Oryctolagus cuniculus: one gene and its partners. The protein of the gene in region 3 purifies or fractionates together with the protein of the main gene of each other region. This does not show direct contact. Links are inferred from orthologs where the notes say so. Each region holds a gene or a part of one and is shown on either strand. Other genes may lie near its edges. The genes, in order: LAPTM5, LAPTM4A and NEDD4.

Region 1 (7,554 bases), on a different chromosome or scaffold from region 3:
GGGGTGGGCGTTCATTTGCAGGGTGGTGTGTGTGCTTTATTCTACCTCCTAGAGTGGCCTTGGCCAAGGGGGCCACTCTCTGGGGTGGCAGAATCCCCTCCTTGGAGGTTTGGGGCAGGTGACAATGATGACCAGGGCCAGGCTTCCGTTCCACAGGGAGTGGCAGAGGCCCCGGCCCAGGGGTCTGCGCAGGCTGGAGGCTGCTGACTTCAGGGGAGCGAATGACTCTGGTGTCTGGAGGGAAGGCAGTGCCTGGGTGGGGGGGCTCAAGAACAGACAGAGCAGGGTTCGCATCCCGGCTCCGTCTCCTCCCAGCAGCCTGGGTGTGTTTGAGGTCAGGGAGGAAAGACACAATAGCTGTGCTCACATGACCCTGTTCCGTGTTGGCCACAGCGCTGCCAAGGTAGGTACAACGGCTCAGAGAGATCAAGCGCTTTGTCTGAGGTCACACAGCGGCTAAGTGGGGAGCTGGGACACCCGAGCTGACGTCACCTCCTCCAGCTCCTCAGCCCTCTGCTGCAACTGTCTCCTAGGCTGTAGCTTCCTTAATATGCTCTTAAAATCGACTTGCTGCCTCTTTATTTAAATGCATCTGTTTGAAAATGAGACTTTATATTACTCCCATAAATGGAGAATCATAGAATTCGTGGACTAGTTATGTATATTTTTATACTGTACAATAAGATGAATTGATCACTATAAAAATGAAAAACCTCCATCCATAGACCATGTAAAACCGTGTCACACGCCAGCCCTCTCTTTGGGAATTGGCTGCACCCCTGCCTGGGTCCCACCAAATCACAGTGTTATTGACGGCTGTCGTTATAACCGCGGGAAATCCTCCGCTGGCTTCCCAGACTCCCCAGCGTGACCTCAGGGTCTTCCTGGCCCTGGTTTCTCAGTCTCAGGCCTTCTGTCTGGCCTCGCTGCTGAGGGACACAGTCTGACTCGTCTTGTCCTGGCCAGAAGGTGCCAGGACTGGAGCCCAGGCCGCGAGCCAGAGAGACCAAATTCTTACTCACTGACTCACTAGTCAGCTCGCTAGGACGTCAGGCCTCAGCAGACCTAGGAAGGGACGGAAGCAAGCTTGAACACGGAGTAGGGAAGCCATCGCCTGGGTCTCCCAGGAGCCCCAACCTGGCTGAGTCCCCTTGGTCTCATTGGCAAAGGGAGAAGGATTAGAAAGTGTAGCAGTGGGGCAGGCATTGTGGCGCGGTGGGTGAAGCGGCCAACTAGGATGTCAGCAATCCATATAGAAGCCGCTGGTTCGAGTCCCAGCTGCTCCACTTCTGATCCAGCTCTCTGCCAATGCACCTGGGAAAGTTGCAGAAAATGGCTCACGTGCTTGGACCCCTGCCACCCATGTGGGAGACCCAGATGGAGTTCCAGGCTCCTGGCTTTGGCTTAGCCCAGCCCCGCTGTTGCAGCCATCTGGAAAGTGAACCAGCGGATGGAAGATCTCTCTCCTTCCTTGTCACTCTGCTTTTCAAATAAATGATAGATAAATAGATATTAAAAAAAAAAAAGAAAGAAATAAAGTGCAGCAGCCCAGGTGTGTAGGTCTAACAGCAGTTCCTGCTGCGGGGTAGGAGCCTTTATAACCTCTCCTGGGGCAGAAATGATGGACTGCTGTGCTGCCCACTCCGAACTCCCTGACCTCATGGGAGGGTGGGGCTTTGTGGTGGGTCCTGCTGCATTCTGTCTGCTAGGAGCTTTCAGTGTCAGTGAGCTCAGCTTCGGGACAAGGCCCAGCTTCTTGCAGGTTGTTGCGCGTGCCTCGTGCACCCTTTGTTTATTGCAGTGTGGGTAATTTATCATCTGAGTGAGGAGTGCAGGTCCTGGGGTAGTGTGCTGGGGAGCCGTTTATTACTTCCAGTTTAAGAGCGAGTTCCTGTACCAGGAACTTGGAGGCCCACAGAGTGGGCTGCCAGGAGGGGTCAGTGACCGGCTGAAAGAAGACCCGGCCCAGGGCTGATGGCTACACATAGTAAGTGCATTACTGTCCTGGTTTGGAGCTCTGCCCACTGGGCAAAGACTCCTAGCCCTGGGGTAGCTCAAATTCCAGCTGTGACCCAAACAAATCATTTCCCCTCTCTGTGCCTCCATTCCTTCATCTGTGAAATGGGGATAATAGTAGCACCTCTCTCAAAAGGCTAAGGTTGAGGTTAAAGGAGCTATTCCAGGAACATGCTTAGTACTTGCCAGAAAGTAGCCATTTTTGCAAGGTTTGAGCTTGGCTCCTGCCACAGGTGCTAACTGATGTGTGATTTGGGGTGAGTGCCTTGATACACCTCTCTGGACCTGTTTCTCTCTCTCTTTTTTTTTTTTTTTTTTTTTTTGGAAATAGGTCTGGTCACTGTCCCAGTTTCCAAGGGTGAACCCCAGCCCTGGTGCATGGTGGGTACAGATGGTGGGAGCGTCTGTCCTCCCTGGAAGCCCCTCCCAGGAGCGGCTGAGGTCTGGCGAGGCTCCCTCCCTGAGGCCGGCCGCGGCCCCTCCCCCACCTGCTTCCCCCGCCGCCCCGCCCCAGTGCTGACGACCTTGGCCCTGCCTGTCTGAGGGGCAGGACGGAAGTGAGCCTGAGCCGGGCAGCCGGCAGCTTCCCTTTTTCTGCTCTGCTCTCGGTGGGCGCCGGGCTCCTTCCCCCCAGTGCCTCAGAGGCCGCGGCAGCAGTACCATGGCCCCGCACGTGGCCGCCGTCCGCCAGACCTGCTGCTGCTTCAACGTCCGCGTGGCCACCACCGCCCTGGCCATCTACCATGTGGTGAGTGTGCCGCCGGCCCTGGGGACTTGTGTGCGTGCCCGTGCGTGTGTGTGTGTGTGTGTGTGTGTGTGCCGGCGAGAGAGACTGAGCCCCTCAAAGGGGAGGCCACTGCCCACCACCTTTCTGAGGGACTCTGTTTGGCACAGCCCTTTCCCTCTCTGGCCTCAGTTTCCCTCTCTGTGAAATGGGGAGGGCGTCCTGCAGCTGCGGACGTAAGTGACATTCGCTTCTGCAGCTCAGCTTCTGCCTCAGCGAGTCGGGCAAAGCAGCAGGCGCGAGGTTATCTCAGAACTGGACATGCTCTGGGGGCCAGGGGGCCTGGGAGAGAGCAGGCTGGGCCGGGTGCCAGGATGCCAGGTCAGCCACAGGCACAGCTTGCAAGCCCGGGCTGCTCCAGGAGCCGGGACATCAGCAGCTCCTCTCTGAGCTTCCAGTGGGCGGGGGCAGGGAGCTAAGAAGCAGGGAGGGGCGCTAGGCTCAAGCTCCCACAGGTTCCTCTTTGGAGGCCGGTGTGCCTAGCCACACACGAAAGCTCTGTCACCTGTGGCTCACGGAGTGACTCTGGGAAGGTGCCAATCCCCAAGGCCATGGCTACCCCTTTGTTTGCGGTGGCTGAAGCTTGGAGTCCCTGCTCTGTCCTGTCCAGACCCACCCTCCAACCCTTGTCTCCTGGCCACACCCGGGCCCCCAGACCTAGGCGCCTTCCTCCTGGAGTGACTCAGGGCCTGTGGTTAGCCGTTCTCTCATGAGCTTGGAAGAGCTTCCTGAAAGTGAGCCACGGCTTGCATGCCGTGGTGGGCTGCCCTCCCCGGCCGAGATGGCCGCATCTGCTTCCTGTCGTGGGGCAGGAGCCGGGCCTGGGGAGGGCGGTGCCGCTCAGCGGTTAGCATACAGACACCTGTGTGCAAATCCTGGCTTCCTGGTTTCCTAGCTGTAGGAAACTTGGGCAACTTACTTAACCTCTCCGAGTCTCTGTTTCCTTTTCTCCAAAACGAGGCTAAAGATAAGAAGTCCTGTCTGACGGCTTGTGTGGCTCAGGGACTCAATAGCCACAGCGCAGGCAGAACAGGGTCTGACCCACATTGGAGTGTTTTGCCTTCAGTGCGGCACCACACATGCACCTGCTGCCGGCACACCTGAAGTCCCGCATTCCCAGCCCGGAGAGTGGTTTTGGCAGGAGCTCAGAGATTGTCCCACACGAGGTGTCTTTACTGTCCCCACCAAGTCTATAGGGTTTTCTTTCTTTTTAAAAAAGATGCATTCATTTTATTTGAAAGGCAGAGTTACAGAGACAGAGGGCGAGATGGAGAGACAGAGAGAGAGAGAGAGAGAGATATCTTTCCATCTGCTGGTTCATGCCACAGATGGCCTCGACAAACAAGGCTGGGTCAGGCCAAGGCCAAGAGCCTGGACCTCCATCTAGGTCTCCCACATGGGTGCAGGGGCCCGAGCACTTGGGCCGTCTCCTGCAGCTTTCCCAAGTGCATGAGCAGAGAGTTGGATCGGAAGTGGAGCAGCCGGGACTTGAACCGGCGCCCATATGGGATGCAGGCACCGCAGGCTGCGACTTTACCTGCTGCGCCACAGCGCCAGCACTGTGACTCTTAAGAAGTCCAGAAGGGCATGTACATGACTACAGGTGGGATGGACGGGCCCGGGAGGCCCTGTGCTTCTGCCCGTTGCTGCCATGAGGGTCTTGGGCACTGTGGCCTCTCCTCTGACATTTAGAAAAGCAGGAAACAGGCATCTTTGCTGCACCTTCTGGTGTTCCCATGTCGCTGAGTGACGCGGGGTAACATGGACGCGCCCATGCAGGCCGTGCTGGACCCGCCCACAGGCTGCCTGCGCCGAGGCTGCACTGCAAGCCTGGGACCGTGTGCCTCCAGGTTTCTTTTTGATCTCTATGCCTTGGGTCCTGCCACGGCAGCCGCGTGGGTCCAGGGCACGGAGAAGTCTTGTTGGAGGGGCACCTTTGTAGGAGGTGCAAACTTTGCTATGGGAAACAGGGGTGGAGCAGAGAGACTGCGGACAAATGGGGGTGGGCAAGGCGTGGTTGGGCACTCCGGACCCTGAGCTGGAGTCAGGGAGGGACAGGGCGAGTGCTTGGCGTGTCCTTGGGTGCACCGTTATTATTTGGGCTGGAGGAGCCTTTGGCGTGGGGGCCTGAACAGTGCCTTGTAGGAATTTTAGCAACACCCCCTGCTTCTATCTGCTGCATGCCAGTAGCACCGGCTGCACTGACTCCCCCGTGACCATAACCAAACAGGTGTCTAGTCCTGGGCGCAGTCGCTCCCTCTAATGTGAGTTGGGGGGCAGCCATGGGAGGTTCTAGAACAGGAGAAGGTGCCAGAAGAGCGGGTAGCCTGGCTGCTCTGTGACTCCGGGCCGGCCTCCTCAGTGGACTGCAGTGAGGGTCTCTGCCTTCACCCTTGCTGGGGTTGGGGCTCTGCGTCTTCCCAGAAGGGCAGGGTCAGGGGCTTTCCTGTGGCCCAGTCGTCGGGTGGCAGGTGTGCTGGCAAGACCTTGAACATCTGGATGGAAAAGAGAAGCTGCCATCCAGATGTGCCAGGGGCCCGCGTCGGCCGTCATCTGGAGCCAGCCGTGGGTGACGGCTCTGCCTGGGGCGAGCTATTTGTGGCTGTGGTTCCTCTGGGGAGGGTTAAATCGGGCCACTGACGTCCAGAGGCAGCACGCGCTTTATCAGGTCGTGGGGGTGTTGGTGCTGGAGGACCCTCTCCTGTGCGATGCTGGGAAGTGAGTCCTTGACTTTCGGCCGCAGGAGGCTTCCTAGGGATTTTGCTGGGCTTGTGTAGAGGATTCTCTGGGCCACCCACCTACACCCATGGGGAAGTCAAAGGACTTTTCTTAGATCGACCTCCTGGGTCCTCGCTCGTCATCAAGTTCACTCAAGTCCTCAGTCGGTGTCAGGAGGCGAGGACTCCCAGAGACCCTTTTGCCTGGAAATGTCTCCTGCCTTTCTTCCCCAAGGCGCCTGAAATCCCATCACTGGAAGTGCATTGTCCAGATGAAAAGCTGACACCTGCTGTGATAAAAAAAAATGTACACAGATTTCAACCATGCAGGGACAGGACGCGACAAAGCCCAGTGAAAAGGAAAGGAGGTGGTGGTGACTGTGGGCTCCAGGACCGTGCAAACGCTTTTCTACTTTCCTATTTTCAGTATCTGGTCTGAGCATGTGCTACTTTGAAAAAGAAATGCTTCATTTTAGAAGAGTTTCAGGTACTGCAGGGCTGTGAACGTGGTGCAGAGTGCCCGTGTCCCGGCTGCCTAGCCTCTCCGTCACTATCTTCCATTATCTGTGCCCTTGTCACAGCAGATGAATCCATACTGACACCTGTTACTGACAGGCAGCCACGCCCCGTCCATACCTCCACCCCTCTGCCCGGGATCCTTGTTCTCCTCCGGGAACCATGGAGAGGACCCTCCAAGGGACCACACCACGCTTGGCTCTCACTGCCTCCTAAGGGTTCCCTCCTACTGTCCCTGACAATTTCTCAACAGTTTCTTCATTTCTGGTGATCTTGGGAATTTTGTCGAATGTTCCCGAACTGGGATTAGTCGGACGGTTTTCTCAAGATTACACCCGAGGTCAGGTGCTCTGGGGAAGAGGACTGCAGAGGTGGAGTGCCACCCTGGCATGCCACCTGCAGGGTATGTGCCACCACGGCGATGGGCATCGTGGGCTTCGACCTGGGTCACTTCGACCCCATCCTGTGCTGTCAAGTTTCCCTTTTTCTCTTTGTCCTTTCTGGAAGAAAGTCCCTGTGCACAGCATGCTGCTCCCCTCCCTGAGGGCGCGGGGGCCCGTGGTGATTGGGAATCCTTCCTGAGAGATTTGTCTGTTCTCCCCACCATCGGATTACACAGGCAGAGCACCCGGATGCTTGCTTTGTGCCTGGGGGAGAATCCCGTGCTGCGTCTCTTCATGCTACAAAGGCAGCCTCTGGGGTGGAAAGAAGAGGCCGCAACTTGCCCTGATGAGCCTGGGCCAGGAGCCAGGCCTCAAAGTCTGTGATAACCAAGGCGCTGGTAGCAACGCTGCACACTGTTGTGGGCCCAGGGAGGAAGGGCCTTAGCCCAGCCTTGGGGTGGAGGTGTGGAAGGGCTCCTTGGAGGACCCCTGGATCCTGGTGATGACCAGGACTTTGCTGGAGCATGCTGGGAAAAGAGGGCTCACAGCTGGAGGGAGCTGCAGCAGCAGAGGCTTGGTGTGGGCAGACCACTGGGGGCTGCCGGAGGCTGTGGGAGGGGGCGGGGAGGCTCGTGCAGTGGGGTTAGCAGGGACAGTCACAAGGCATTGATAGGGGGGTGGGGAGCCCAGAGGTCAGCAAGGGTGATGCTGCTCTAGCCCCTTACTTCTATCAGTCCTCGTGGTTAGGCAGAGGGATCTTGGCTTCACCCATTTGCCCATTTTTCAGATGAGAAAACAGAGGTGCAGCAGAGTCTCTGACCATGTAGAGAGGCCATGTAGAGAGGAGGGGTAGGTGTGTGGAATGGGCCAGGGAGTGGGCCCCTGGCTAGGGTGGTCTGTCTCTGAGAGGGCCTTCCCGTCCCCCCAGCCTTCCATGAAAGTTTCTTCCTCCTACGGGAAGCCCTCCTGCTTTCTCCTTCTCAGAACCCCTCAGGCTCCTTCCCTCGTCCTCCTTGGAGGCAGTGACTGTGACTGAAAGGACACTGGCCGGTCTCGTCACTCACCAGCGCTGGGACCTCCGGCAGGCAGGTGCCTTTGCGTGTGGGCCCCAGTTTCCTCATCTGTTCAATGGTCCTTG
Region 2 (7,763 bases), on a different chromosome or scaffold from region 3:
TGGAACCCCAACTTACATTTTAAATAAAATATTATTTTGGAAAATCTTTGTGACTGTCAAAGATTCAGAGGTGAGTACCTAAGCTGTACTCATATACAGGCCCTAGTGATTGACTTTTTAAAAGGTTTATTTGAAACACAGAGTGACAGAGAAATCTTCCACTGACTAGTTCACTGGCCAAATAGCCAGAACAGCCAGGTCTGGGTCAGGCTAAAGGCAGGAACTCCATCTTGGTCTCCCAGGTGGGTGGCTGGGACCCAAGGACTCGGGTCATGTTCTGCTGCCTTCCCAGGCACATTAGCAGGGAGCTGGATGGGAAGCGGAACAGCCAGGATTTGAACCATCACTCCCGTAGGGTATGCCAGGATCACAAGCAGTGGCTTCACCAGCCATGCCACAACACTGGCCCCCTAGCAATTTACTTCTGATTACAGTTGGTATTTCACCACGTTGAATTCTTCAAAGAATGCATAAAAGTTAGTCTTACAAATAAAATTTTTCTGAAAACACCCAACTATGTACAAACTATTCCAGAGTGTTCCTGATTCATTTTTTTCTCCCTTCACTGTATTCAGGGAGGAAAGTTAACAAAAAATATAATTAAAAGAGAATGAAAAAATAAAATTTTAAAAATAAAAAAGAATGGTTAAGTTCTAAGTCTAGGAACATGGAAAGATACAGAATGCAGCCAACCTGTCAACAGCATGGAAATGGACACACCACTCAGCACTCAGCGTGGGAGCAGACATGTACAATTTGTGGGTCAAACAACGTGGTGTCTGATGCTTCTGAAGCCTTTACCCACCTTATGTAAGCGCACAAAGGAGAAACAGATGTGCTCGAGCGTCCTGAGTACAAAGCAACGCTACGGCATCCATGGACACACCCAGCCTCCAGAGAGTCATTCCTCTCTGCATTCTCATTTCATTGCCACACACATCCTAGAGATTCTTCAGGGACTTTTCTTGGAGGAGACGGTTCATTTACTGTTTCATGAACATCTCAAGCGGTCTAATTAATAATTTACCTACTACACACATTTTATAGGGTAAGACACTACCCTCCTCCTTCAGGGAAGCCATCCTATGTGGGAGGAAGAAAAGATAATCATACTAGAATGCAACAGAAGTACTATTTAATAAGTGCCTACAACAGACACTTGAAAAATCTTCCCCATGAAAACATCTGAGCTACCAGCCAAGAAATTAATGTGAAATTGACAAAATTGTTAATGGTTAAACCTGAGAGATGAGTAAATGGGAATTTTTATGCCAGTTTGCTACTTTGTTTTAAAACTTCCTTAATACCATTTTTAGAAAATGACAGGAAAAGATGATTTCAGAAGGGAATCGCATATCCAGTCACAGAGGCACAAAACAAGGTACTTGAGGAAAGACACTGACTGAAGCATAAACAAGCTACACTCCTCTATAGCAATCAGGAGTGAGGGCCAGAAAGGAATGCAGCCTGAGGAAGCCTGTCTTCGCGTATCTGCCCGCTACCTAAGGTTATACTCTAAAAAGGTTGAGACACATGGAAAATCAGTCACAGCGTCTTTCCAAGACCAACACTTACTACAAATGCTCAAAACATACTCTCATTAGGGCACCATTAACCTCTCACAGCAGATGCTTAAGGCCATTTTCATTCAATAAATATTTTGAGTTAGACAAGAAACTTGTTTAAAATCATCTTAAAAAATGATAGGGAAACTTTAGAAATGTCAGCATTTAAAGGAGCTCATTCTGAAACTCTGTATCGCTTAAACCAGGTACTAAACCAGGCTTTCTTCTTTCAAGTTTAAAATGCTAAAGGCTACTACTGCAAGGCTACGGAATAATGGGTTCTGGTTTTCTCTAGGTCCTGCCCAGCACTACTTAATATAAGGCAATGAATACCGTATATACAGTCTGACAAACATCTTCACATTGCCATCCGTAGAAGTGGCTGCTGAAAAGTAATGACACTCTATCAGTCGCAGTCATTTTAACAGTGTCTGAGCCCATCCAGAGGCCTCACCAAGTTCCAAACAGCACATAAGGAATCACCACTTCAGACAGCCTAGTGACTACGGGGGAACCTGAGAGAATCATAAGATACTCTCTCAAGCAGATGCAGAAGTATTGCAGCAGCTAGAATCAAGGAAGAGGGAGGGAAGTAACACCCTACTCCACTCACCCCCGTATTTCCCTTAGTAAGGAAGCTACTGGCAACAAAACGCACTGCTTAGACAACACTGCACTTTGGTCCAGGTGGTCTTGTCTAATTTCTCAGTGTTATGTGTCTCCCCAGCTGGGCAGAAACTGTGTCTTTAAATTGCTGTATCAAAGCTACACTTTTGAAAGTCACCAGCAATATTATAATTAATAAAACCACTGGCCTTTCCGGGTCTCCCACACAGGTGACTTCAGCCATCAACACTGCTTCCCAGTGTCTGTGTAGCAGGAAGTTAGAGTCAGGGGCTTCGGCCAGAACTGAACCCATGATGGGGAATGCAGACGGCTAACTGCTAGGCTCAACACGGGCCCCCCACAGCCTTCCTCCAGTCCCTGAGCTGGTTAGAATTGGACATTACCAATCACCTTCCCCTTCTCTCGTTACTGTAAGTTTCGTTTCTGAACCTGTGCCCCAAAGTGCCATGCAATACCAGAAGCATCTTGAGGGAAGATGCAAAGTTCAAGACAACAAACACTGAAGTTCTACCATGTGGCCCGAACAGGAACACAAAGGATCAACGACACCAGGCCCTGTGATTCATTCCTTCTGTACAGCAAGCAAAGCCTTTCATAGTGCACACGGTCAATCAATCACATAACCAAGACAGGTGACAGAAGCAGTTGACAAGGTTCTACTAACCTGAAAAGTCCACGCAAAGAAGAGCTCAAAAGAGAGATGCGTGAACCTTTTTCACGTCAACAGCTTCAAGTGCGGAAGAGATTTAAATTCACTGCCTACTTTGTAGGAATAATGCCCTTAACTGAAGTTTTCCCCTCTGCACTTTGAGTTTCCTGTTTGTAACTCGCACTTGATCCTGCTATTCATTTTTGAGCTGAGCCCATAAATACAGCCAATTACACTTAGATGGCTGAGACAAGGATGGTGGTTATTTTCTTCTTTAAGAGTTAGAAACCCTCTGTTCTGTGAACGGAGGGAAAGAGCTGAGGAGACAGGAACACCAAATTTGAAGGCCAGAGTCCCAGGATGAAGGACTGGACTTCCTCCACCCAGGAGGAGGGAAAATCACTTGGGATGAGGACAGTAGGGTTGAGAACGATTTAAAGTATTCATTTTGGAGAGTGGAAGGCAGAGCTAAGGACAAACAAAAGAAATTAAAACTCAGCCCCTTAATAATGGAGGGGAAAGAAAAGGAAGTGAGAAATATAACGCAGATGACTCATTAACTATTTGATGTCCAAAATTATAGAGTCTGTGAATGGCCATGTGATACAAATAGATTTACACACATTCAAGTTTTTTTAATTTTTAAGTATGTTAATGAAGCAAGACTGTAAAACAACAACAGAGCAGTCAGGAATAACGTGGTGGCAGGTGGTCCCCTGGGGGCGAGCCATGTAACAGTATCTGTCTAACGGATTCTCGTCTGGTATTTGTCTGAGTGGTTACCAATGACTTCCAGACACTGGGTGGGGACGTCTCCAGCACGTAGGAAGGCAGGGAGTGCCTAGGGTAAGTCTCTTCCCTTTTTTTTTTTTTTTTTTTTTTTTGTAGGTCACTAAGCATCAGAACCGGCACAGTATTTGCTGCCACTCCCTGTCGCCCCCCACAAAAATCACAGAAGTCAGCCAAAGTGGCCGAGTCGACAACAAATGAAGTCTGACAGAGCTTCCGTGAAGTCCGAATAACCCAAGACTGCCTAAACAGGATCGCACTTTCCTAACTCACAAACCGGCTCCAATCGTGTCCGCATCCCGGAAGCGGCGGGAAGCAGCCACTACCGTCTTCCTACGGGTCACACTGTCAACTGCCGATGACAGAGGAGATCCCGGCACCAGGCACGCCAGCCTCCGCGGCCACCCAGTGCAGGCCATCCGCTAACGCGGGCAGGCCAGGGGCTGCCTCAGGGCGAATCCCGGAGAGCGGTGCCGCCTCCGGGCGCACCTCGGCCCCGCGGCCCGCACCCCAGCTGCGCTCCGGCAGCGCGAGCGGCCCCGAGGCAGAGGAACTGGGATGCGTTACCTCAAGATCTGCTCCTCAAAAAAAAAATATATATATAAAATGAATAAAACCCACCGCCACCAGCACCCGACCCGGGGGCGGAAGTGCGAAAGGAGGCCAAGCCGGGTCATTCCCAGCACCCCAGTCCCTCCGGCCGCCCCGGAACACCCCCGGGGCAAGTCTCCTCCCTCGACGCCCCCGGACTGCTGCCCGAGCTGGAGGACCCCACGGAGACGCGCCCCCTCACGCCCCGCCCCGCCGGCCCGGGCGCCCCTCACACCTACCATGTACCAGGTGCCCAGGACGATCGTCCCGGTGCGAACATGGCAGCAGCCGCAGCACCGGGTGCTGTAGAACCGGTCGCTGCGGCTCCGCTTGAAAGTCATGGACACCATCGGGAGACTCGCGGGCCTCGCTGCTGGCCCAGTCACTGACCAAAGCTTTCCGCGCAGCGGTTGCGCCCGGCGGTTGACTCTCGGCGTCCCAAGCCAAACGACGCGTCTTCAAGCCCGCCCCCGGCCCGGGCCCCAACAGCTCCTCCGCACCGGCGCACTGAGCGCCGCTCTCGTGCGGCCTCCGCTTACCCCCTCCTCCTCCTCCACTTTCCGCGGCACGCGGACCAATAGAGAGCGGAAAACGGAGCGGGCCCGCCTCCTGATTGGAAAACCTTGGAGACTGACAATATCTCAGGGCCAATCAGAAGTGCAACTCCCCTCAGCGCGGATCCGTTCCCGCCTGGTAAGGGAGGCCAGAGGCCCGCTCGGGAGCCCAGGAGAGTTCGTGGTGAGGGCGACCCGGTAGTTCACCATCCCTGAAGTGAGGCCGTCAAGGAAAGGGACATTTAGTGCAAGAGGGGAGACAAGAGATGGCGTGGAGGCCAGGAAGTGAGCGCGAAAGGCTTTTCCGAGTGATGCCTCTGCCACGTATTACGTCAGAGGCGACTCGGACCTGCGGCTGCTCATGTGACCTTTGCGTGCGGCTCCATTATTGGGCCGGCTTGTGGGGGAGGGGCGGGCCTTGTGAGTGGGTGGGGCCTGTGGGGAGGGGCGGGGCTAGCTAGCCGCCCCCGCAGTGTGGCGGAAATTGGGAGCTCCCAGGGGAGTTGAGAGCGTGGATTTCCGCCTCCTTGGTGGGAGCCAGAGACGCAGGGCTTAAGGAGACCGAAAGTAGTGGGAGAACTGGCTGCTTACAGCTGACGAGAGTGGTTTTTGTGGAGAAGAGTTGTGAGACACGTGGAAAAGAACCAACAGGTTGTCGGGGGCCTTGAGTGAACAGCCGGCCTTGGTGTTGGGATTGCGTAGGGCCCCCGCCTTCCTTTGTCCCTGCTGCGCCCTGGGAGTGCTCACTGGACTCAGCCCTCCTGGGAAAAAGCCTGTATCTGACATCAACTTCTGAGTTCATTCCCATTCCTGCTTCAGTAGAGGCGGTACTTTGACGTCTCCCCGGCCTCTCCTTCCTCAGAGCAGACAGAATCTTTGACACGTGTTCGTTGTGTGTGTAGGAGACGTGTGACTTTACCGTGAAAAGAAATGTAGTCAGAGCCACCACGGAGTTCAGCTGTGGGTGATAACTGCGTAGGCATAATCAGGCAAACGCTGCATGTGGAGTATGTCGCAACACACTGTATTTGGGGAAGAGTAGATGACAGTTTAAGAGTGATAAGTCATCCAGTATATTGGGAGCAAATAACGTCAGAATTAGTGAAAATAGAGTGTATATGTTGCTTAAAAATATGAAGCTCTGCGTGCACCACGACAAAAATAGCTGAGAGTATTTTTAATGACAGCTTTTGCTGTGCAACAAACTACACAAAACTTAGTGACTTCACACAACTTTTTTTTATTTCTCCTCAATTTGTGCTAAACTAGGCATTTCTGCTGGTTTCTGTCAAGTTCAGCTTAACTGGTGAAATCTGGATCGTCTAGAATGTTCTCCCGTGGCTGGTGGTTTTGCATCAGTCTGGGTGGAGGCATTTATCTGCGTGTCTCAACATCTAGCAAGCTGGCCCAGCCCCTTAGGGTTGGTGCAGGGTTTCCCAGGGCAAGCACAAGACACTGGCACTTTTTAAGTGTGTGGTTCACATTTGCTCATGTTCCAATGGACAAAGCAAATCCCATGGCTAAGCCCAGATTCAAGGAATCCAAAACTAGACCCTTACTTCTTGTCGGTGGGAGCTGACAGAATCATTGCCAGGGGTGGGCGAAGAAAGAGATGGGAGGGATATATGACCACATCATCAGAAGTGGAATCGCAGAGAGAAAACAGAAAAGGGGCTGGGGGCAGGAAGGAGGAAGGGGATGACAGGAGCTGGAAGGGAAAGAGGGGAAACCCTGGATTTTATGATGAGGCTTTTAGTTTAGTTCTACTGTGGACAGTGGCACCAAACTGTACCACCCATCACCTGCGTCCTTCCCTGCTACACAAGCAGTGTAAAAATGCTAGTTTGGATTAAGAATATTCTTGATGAACAAAACATTATTTGCTTTGTTTTGTTAGTCCTTGAGAACACATCTTTTTATTTTTTAAGTTTATTGTGAATTTTATTTATTTGAAAGGTCAAGCAACAGAGAGAAATATCTGGTTTGCTCCTCAGATGTCTGCAACAGCCATGGCTGGGCCAGGCAGAAGCCAGGAGCCAGTTCCATCCAGGTCTCCCATGTGGGTGGCGAGTACCCAAATATTCAAGCCATCATCTTCTGCCTCCCAGAGTGTGCATTGGGAGGAACATAGATTGGAAGCAGAGGTAGGACTCAAAGCCAGGCACTCTGATATGGGATACAGATGTCCCAAGCAGTGGCTTAAACCACTGCACCCCAATGCAGATGCAAGAACACATATTTTTAGCATTCTATGTAATAAAAGGTCAAGTCCACATAAGCACTTTTGCTGTGTACAAAAATACAATGATTCTCTCTAGGGGAAGCATTGCTTGACTTAGGAACTGATCTAGCCACGTTTTTAATAGAGCACCATTTTCACTTGAAAGAATGACAGGTGAATATGAATATTGAGATGTAAGTATTTGGCAGTCATTTTCTTGAAAATGAATGAGGTGAACTTGTCCCTTCAAGGCAAGCAGCTAGAGTATTGGTTGCCAGTGAAGAAATTATAAAATTTTCAAGAGAAAATTAGAGAAAAGTTTCCAAAAATTTTGGAAAAATGTATATGCACAACCACAGGCTTGATAGTAATAAAGATTTTTATGTGGGGCAAGAGTTATGGCCCGACGAGTTAGTCACCGCCTATGATGCCAGCATTCTATATCAGAGGATGGAAGTTTGCTTTCTTTGTCTCTGTCTCTGTCTTTCTCTCTCTGTCTCTCTCTCTGTATGTGTGTGTGTTTGTGTGTGTGTGTGTGTCACTCTGCCTTTCAAATAAAATAAACCTTTTTAAAAGATTTTTATGGTAGTATTGGAGTGAAATAAACTAATGTGATTTTCTGATATTTACAATGTTAACATTTGACTCTCTGCTACCTGAGTGAAGCAACATTTGTCAAATAACCAGTGCATTATGCTACAAAATCATGCCTAGGTTAAAAAAGCTAATCAAGTGCAGGGCAGAGCAGTGATTTTTGGTGTCACAGT
Region 3 (7,047 bases):
CATCAGCTAGAATAATGGCTATCATCCAAAAATCAAAAAACAATGCTGGTGAGGATGTGGGGAAAAAGGTGCTCTGACTCACTGTTGGGAATGTAACTAGTACAGCCATCTGGGAGACAGGATGGAGATTCCTCAGGAACCTAAAAATAGATCTACCATATGACCCAGCCATCCTATTCCTGGGAATTTACCCAAATTACATGGAATCAACATGAGAACGAGTTATCTGTGCCCTCATGTTTATAGCAGCTCAATTCACAATAGCTAAGATATGGAATCAACCTAGATGTCCATCAACTGATAACTGTATAAAGTAAGTGTGGTAAATATATACTGTGGACTACTATTCAGCCATAAAAAAAATGAAATCCTGTCTTTTGAACAAACAAAATGGATGCAACTGGAAACCATTATGCATAGTGAAATAAGACAGTCCCAAAAAGATGTATCATATGTTTTCCCTAATTTGTGGTAACTAATATACAAAGTATAAAAAATGTAATGTACATGACTAAAATTGACGAGATTTGATGTTTATAGCCCTTGTCTATACTCTTGAGGAACACTGGTTTTTCTACTTACTACTCGCTGAATTATTTATTTAGTGGAGGACTAAGCCTGTCATTATAAATAAACTGAAGGTATGTCATTGTAAAACATAAAAGAAAAGGAAGGAGGGTGGGAGCAGGGGCAGGAGGCAGCGTAGGGCAGGAAGTATCATTAGGCTCTTAAGCCTGTACATATGAAATACATGGAATTTGTTTACCTTATGTAAGTCAAATTAACAAAAGAGGTGGAAAGGGCCCATTTAAAGCAAAAGCGGGGTCCCTGCCACCCACGTGGGAGACTCAGATTAAGCTGGGACCCAGACTTTGGCAAGGGTAGGCTGGTTGAGAGCACAGGTCTTGGTGACATTTTTTTGGATGTTCAAAGCATTCTGCTTGTTGACTTTCTGGAGGGTCAAAGGACAGTAACAGATGCTGATTCTGAGAGTGTTTTGAGAAAGTCAGTTAGAGCCTTAGCAGAAACGTGCTGGGAAGCTTCTCCAGCGAGCCTGTCTCCACCATGACAATGCTCCTGCCTTCCATGACGATGCTCCTGCAAGGGCAGTTCTTTGAGAGTTTCCACGGGAAACCATCAGGCATCCACTTAACAGTCCTGATTTGGCTCTTTGTTTCCTAATCTTAAAATGTGTTTAAAGGGCACCTACTTTTCTTCAGTTAATAATATAAAAAGCAAGTCTGCACTGACATGGTTGAGTTTAAGGACTCGCAGTTCTTTAAGGATGACTAAATGGTTGCTGTCATCTGTTACAAACTAGATAGAACTTGTATTGAGAAAGAAAGTTTTGGGGCTGACATTGTGGCACAGTGGGTTAAGCCTCCACCTGTGATGCCAGCATCCCATGTGGGCACTGGTTCAAGACCCAGCTTTTCACACTTCTGATCCGGCTCCCTGCTAATGCACTTTGGAAGCAGCAGAAGGTGACCCAAGTGCTTATGTCTCTGCACCCATGTGGGAGGCCTGGAAGAAGCTCCTGGCTCCTGGCTTCTGCCTGGACCAGTCATGGCTGTTTTGCTATCTGGGGAGTGAACCAGTGGATGGAAGATCTCTCTCTCCCCGCCTCCCCTTTCTCACCTTCTTCCCTTCCCCCTCCTCTCTCTGTAGTTCTGCCTTTCAAATAAAATAAAAACCAAAGTTTTAAAAATTAAAATTTTTAATTAAATTAAAAAAAGATTTATCTATTTGAAAGGCAGAATGACAGAAACATGAACAGAGAGAGAAAGTGAGATATTCCATATGCTGCTTCGCTCCCCAAATGGCCACAACAGCCAGGGCCGGGACATACCAAAAGCCAGAAGCAAAGTTCATCTACATGGGTGGCAGGGGTCCAAGAACTTGGATCTTCTTGTGCTACCTTTCAGACACATTAGCAGAGAGCTCTATTGAAACAGAACAGCCAGGACTCAAATCAGTGCACATGCATGGATGCTGGCATCACACAAGTGGCAGCGCTGTACCACAATACCATTTCTCCCTTCCTCCCCAATTTTTAAAGAATTTAATCTTTTTAAAAGATTAATTTATTCATTTGAAAGTCAGAGTTACAGAGAAAGGGAGAGATGGAGACACAGGGATCTTCCATCCACTGGTTGACTCCTCAGATGGCCACAACAGCCAGTGCTGGGCCAGGCCGAAGCCAGGAGCCAGAAACTTCATCTGGGTCTCCCATGATGTGATTGTATTTAGGAAAAAGCCCGACCTGCTACACTGTCCTAGAGCACTCCGTGCCACTGCCCACCTGGGGCTACTCAGAGGAGGGGAGTGGGAAGAAGAAAAGGTGAAAATGGAACTGCATGGTTCTGTCTAGAGTTCTTGAATGATTGAATTTTAATGGTGAACAACTATTCAAGGAATATTTTGTTGTCTAAAAACATAGCTTAGGGTGGTTTACAAATCAAGCCATATACTTATTTTTCTAAGATATGATGAATGAAGCCCAATATTTGAAATTTACAGATTGTACTTTGAAATTGTGAGTGAGAAAACAAAAGAAAATGAATACCTCTTTAAATGCAGCCATTTGCTTCTGGATTCGGTTTACAAACCGCCATTGTATTACAAGACTAAAAAGAAATAAAACATTTCACACTTTTTCTCATAAACCAAGAAAAAAGATTTAAGCTGGAGTTATTCAAGTTAGAAACAAAAAATAAAGGCTAGCTAAGCTCATGCCAAAAAGTTGATATGAATCGATAATACCGCAATGTTATAGAAATAAAAGAAGAACATCAAGATTGGGGCCACAGCATGGTCCGGGAAGAAGGTAAGAAGAATCTTACAAAAAAGTGCAAAATTATTCTCATTAAAATACTAATAAAATACTTACTAAATATATTCCTTTTTGTTCTTATTGGTGACAACTATTTCTGATCCACCATTTTTCAACTCATGTTGATGTGTCTAAAATTAAACATAATACCTTGATATGTTATTTTAGTAAGAAAGATTTCAAAGGTATACATATTACAGTTACGCCCAAAACCTGGTGTTTTACATTAAATCCATTCGAAAGCTAGAAGCTTAGAAAACTTAAATATTAGTTTTACTAAAATAAATATGGTATGAATCAAATGTCAAAAAAAGCAAAAATTCGTACTGAGTGCTCTTGTTACTGGAACATGAATGTAAAAGCAGAGCACAGGAATGTGTTGAGTATGTGCACTAACTCTAAACTGAAGCTGCCAAGGTTTTTTACACAATTTACCATTTTCACTGGTCAAAGGGTACAAACCTGTCCAAAAAGTTCTTCATCTATGATAAACCTGAGGTCCAGTTCTGTTGGGTCATTTTCAAGAATCCATCTTAGTGAGTTGTAATATTCACTATCCTAGACGGGAAAAATTTCATATTTAAAATGCATATATATATATATATAAAGAAGACACCTGAGCTCCAGGTCAGAATAACTGGGTGAAAGATGAAAGGGTCACGTGGGCATCTTTTCCATACACACATACGTGTGCTCTAAGAAGAGACAAGGGGCCATGCAGGGCTAGACGTGTATCAGCCAGTGGAGGGTACTTGTTTAAAAGGTCAGAAACATCTCCATGTGAAAGCAGATTTTGTTACCCAGTTAAAGGGTTAAACAGAGCAGTTTTCAGATAAGTCCCAACCTCCACAGAAGTCATCCGGCCGATGAGAGGTTTATGAAATGTTCAGGTAACTATGAGGAGTTCCTTGTCTACACCTGGCCCAAGTGGAAGCTCAACTAAACAACTGAAATGACTGATGTTATGACGTGAAAAACCATGCTGATTGCACTGATGACTTGTGACATGAAAGTAAGAAGCAATCTACCTGGTACTAAGAAAGGAGGCTGTCCTGGAATCCATGTGTGCATGCAATGTATAGGGCTCTGCAGCAGCTGAGGGAGCATAGGGAGTCAAGATTTTAATCAGCATCTCTGTGTCTTTCTTGGGGACTAATCATGAGGCTACGCCTCCACACTACCAAATTTAAGATACATGCCAATATCCCAACTCAAATATTGACATAAAAGATACAGTACTGCTGCAAAGTAAGCATTTAGGGGGAAGTTTACTGGTATCTGCAGCTTACGAGGAAATGCATGAAAAAAACTACAGTGGATTAATGGGTCAAGGGATGGATAGATGGAAAGGTATGCAATGAAATAAACATAGGAAAAGTTGAAAAGTCACTTGTAGGTGGTAGATATACAAGTGTCCACTGTAACGGTCTTTAAACTTGATTATATTTAGAAAATTTTCATGGTAAAATATTCATTTCTATTTTGAAAGGTTATTACTTGTTAATTTCTGTATCATTAAAAAACTAATTCTTTACAATATCCAGTTGTCTGTTAAATCATATGTCATTCCCATTACAAGTGAAAAGACATACCACTGACTCCATATCATGAAGTGTGATCGGTTTGTGTAGCATCATCTTGTAAAAAGGGCGAATGAAAAAACCTTGAAAAAAAACAATGATATTTGGAATTACTAAAACATGAAAGAAGATGGCTAATTACACTAAGACAAGGTTTATACTTGATACTAACCATCCAACAGCTTGCCGTGATACACTGCCATCCCAGCCACTCGGCCAATGAACTTGAAGTAAGAGAGGTGATCTTCATTACACAACCCAGAGTTTGGATTTATCTGTAGGGTGTAATTGTCCCTGCAGAGAGAACCACACGGAAATACTTCTGTTGGTAACACAGACAAAATGTTTAAGCTGACAAATCAGTATAAATGGATCTCCTCCTCCTTTGGAGTTGATCAGAACCGCATTTGGCCACTGGATTGAATGGTTTGAAAAGCAGTAAATTCTCTCAAAAGGAGGAAATAATACAAACACCCACTGATGTTGCGGGTATTCTTTAGCTTTAGGAAGGCGACTGTGCCACAGACGCACCCTGAAGACGGCATGGCAAGTACAATAAGCCGGAGCCAAGGACAAACGCTGCATGACTCCGCCCACGTGAGGGAAGTGGGGTAGCTGGATTTGCAAAGACAGAAAGGAGAACGGATGGCGACTGCAGGGAACAGAAGTCAGAGCTTCACCCTGAGAAGACAAAACGGTCCGGAGCAGTGGTGGTGACCGCACAGCAGCGTGCATGTAGCTGGCGTCACAGTGCTCACGTCCCACGGTCATAGTGGGAAGTCTTATGTGAGGCATGTGCTACCACAACCGCTTAAAAAAGTCACTTCTAAAACATCAGTTGCGGCCTCCCCTCCCTGGTATTCCAGAACCCACATCTCCCTCGTATTGTGTAACTGCCACTTTGTACACAGTGATGTCTCCCTTGTGTGTAAGTGGTTGAAAAGGAACTTACGTAGCAGAATATTCAAACAGCCCATAGTAAGGGTTAAACATTTCCTTTGAGATCAGGAAGAACCATTCTCTGGCGACGCCTCCATAATCTAACCCCTTTTCACCGTCGAACTCAATCCAGAGCCGGGCCTTGAGGAAGTCTGCTCGCTTGACGCCCATGATTCTCCGGTAGGAGTCCTCGAGCACGGTGGCCCGGCGGAGCTTCATCTCAAACTTGTTTGGAATGTCATTCTGAAAACACAGAGAGGAGGAACTCGTGACTTGAGTCAACGCCGCGTAACGACACACGGGCCTCAGGAAAGCTCCCACACGCGCTCTGCCGCTGTCTTTCCCCCAGCGCCGGGGAAAACACAATGAGGTCTGTTAAAAAGGCTTATTTTATTTATTTGAAAGAGAGAGAGAGAGAGAGATTGATCAATCGATCGATCTTCCATCCTCTGGTTCACCTCTCAAATGGCTGCAATGGGGGTGGCCTGGCCAGGTTGAAGCCAGGAGCCTACAACTCCATCCCGGGTCCCCCCTGTGAGTGGCAGGGGCCCAAGTGCTTGGGGCATCCGCGGCTGCTTCCCCAGTTGCATTAGCAGGAAGGTGGATCAGAAGCACAGCAGCCAGGACTCAAACTGGTACTCCGATACGGGATGCCAGCGTCCAGTGGTGGCTTAACCTGCTTCACCACCAGGATGGTCCAGCTGTATTTTCTTACTTTTCCTCCATGGAAGAAATGAATTCATACATTTCAGTTCCCACTTCCTAATACCCACTTCTGATGTATCTGACGGGGCTGGTGAGGGGGTGACGACGCTCAGCTGAAGGCGTTTCATGAACAGTCCGTTGCACGCCAGGTTCCAGGGAAGCCCCTTCTCTGCCTCACTGTCTAGCCACCGCCTGGTACTTGCTGCTTGCCTGTCTGCCAAGGTGCTTCCCTACTGCAATTTTTCTTCCTTGCACTCTCTCCTGCTTCACCCAGGAATAGATGCTAACACTTATAGATTGTACCAGGCACAATTTTACTGGTTAACCCAAGTGTTCTTCATGACAGAATACAAAGAAGCTGCTAGTACCATCTCTACTCTACAGAGGGAGAAATGAGGATGCTGAGAAAGCTCCCCAGTCTCTGGTCTGCAGCAATGAGCGACACTGGCACACTGACCCTGTGCGCATCCTCTGTTTGTGTTACAAGTGTAGATAACTATACCTTAGGCAGATAGGATTACACATGTTATAACAATATTGCGGGATATTTTATTCCTGAGTGGTGTGTGTGCAATTTTCAAGTGGAAATCAATAAGAGAAAACACACTATCAAGATTCAAAAACAAAAAGAAAGGGTTAGCTCTAAGGGAAAAGAAAATCATTTTTCATATATTTAAGGAAAAAGAAAAGCCTGATAGAAACACAGTAACTGAAGCCTTGGATGGCCGTCGCCCTGATCCACAGGGTGGACATTCCAAGATGTCCCATGGATGCCTGAAAGGATACACAGGGCCAAGCCGCACCTGTCCGATGCTTTCTCCACACACACACACACACACACACACACACCCTAGGATAAAGTCTAATTTGTAAACTAGGCACAGCAAGAGATTAACAATAATCATAAAAGAGAACAATTATAACAATCTCCTAACAAACATTATTGAAAAGGAATGAGTGGCTTATTTCTAGAACTTTCCATGTTTAACA

The links.
Region 1: the proteins of NEDD4 (region 3) and LAPTM5 purify together in Homo sapiens (affinity purification with western blotting; 3 studies listed by BioGRID and IntAct, with this or other methods). This does not show direct contact. The link is inferred for Oryctolagus cuniculus from reciprocal best matches to the Homo sapiens genes NEDD4 and LAPTM5.
Region 2: the proteins of NEDD4 (region 3) and LAPTM4A purify together in Homo sapiens (affinity purification with western blotting; 3 studies listed by BioGRID). This does not show direct contact. The link is inferred for Oryctolagus cuniculus from reciprocal best matches to the Homo sapiens genes NEDD4 and LAPTM4A.

Annotation. Positions count from the first base shown.
Region 1 is NC_091438.1:141,558,129-141,565,682, forward strand, and holds the start of LAPTM5 (lysosomal-associated transmembrane protein 5), read left to right. Parts: upstream 1-2,523; 5' UTR 2,524-2,677; coding exon 2,678-2,764; intron 2,765-7,554. UniProt on the Homo sapiens protein: May have a special functional role during embryogenesis and in adult hematopoietic cells.
Region 2 is NC_091433.1:182,483,964-182,491,726, reverse strand, and holds the start of LAPTM4A (lysosomal-associated transmembrane protein 4A), read right to left. Parts: upstream 5,116-7,763; 5' UTR 4,572-5,115; coding exon 4,461-4,571; intron 1-4,460. UniProt on the Homo sapiens protein: May function in the transport of nucleosides and/or nucleoside derivatives between the cytosol and the lumen of an intracellular membrane-bound compartment.
Region 3 is NC_091443.1:78,535,293-78,542,339, forward strand, and holds part of NEDD4 (E3 ubiquitin-protein ligase NEDD4), read right to left. Parts: intron 5,596-7,047; coding exon 5,366-5,595; intron 4,708-5,365; coding exon 4,586-4,707; intron 4,497-4,585; coding exon 4,426-4,496; intron 3,392-4,425; coding exon 3,296-3,391; intron 2,965-3,295; coding exon 2,891-2,964; intron 2,628-2,890; coding exon 2,567-2,627; intron 1-2,566. UniProt on the Homo sapiens protein: E3 ubiquitin-protein ligase which accepts ubiquitin from an E2 ubiquitin-conjugating enzyme in the form of a thioester and then directly transfers the ubiquitin to targeted substrates. Specifically ubiquitinates 'Lys-63' in target proteins.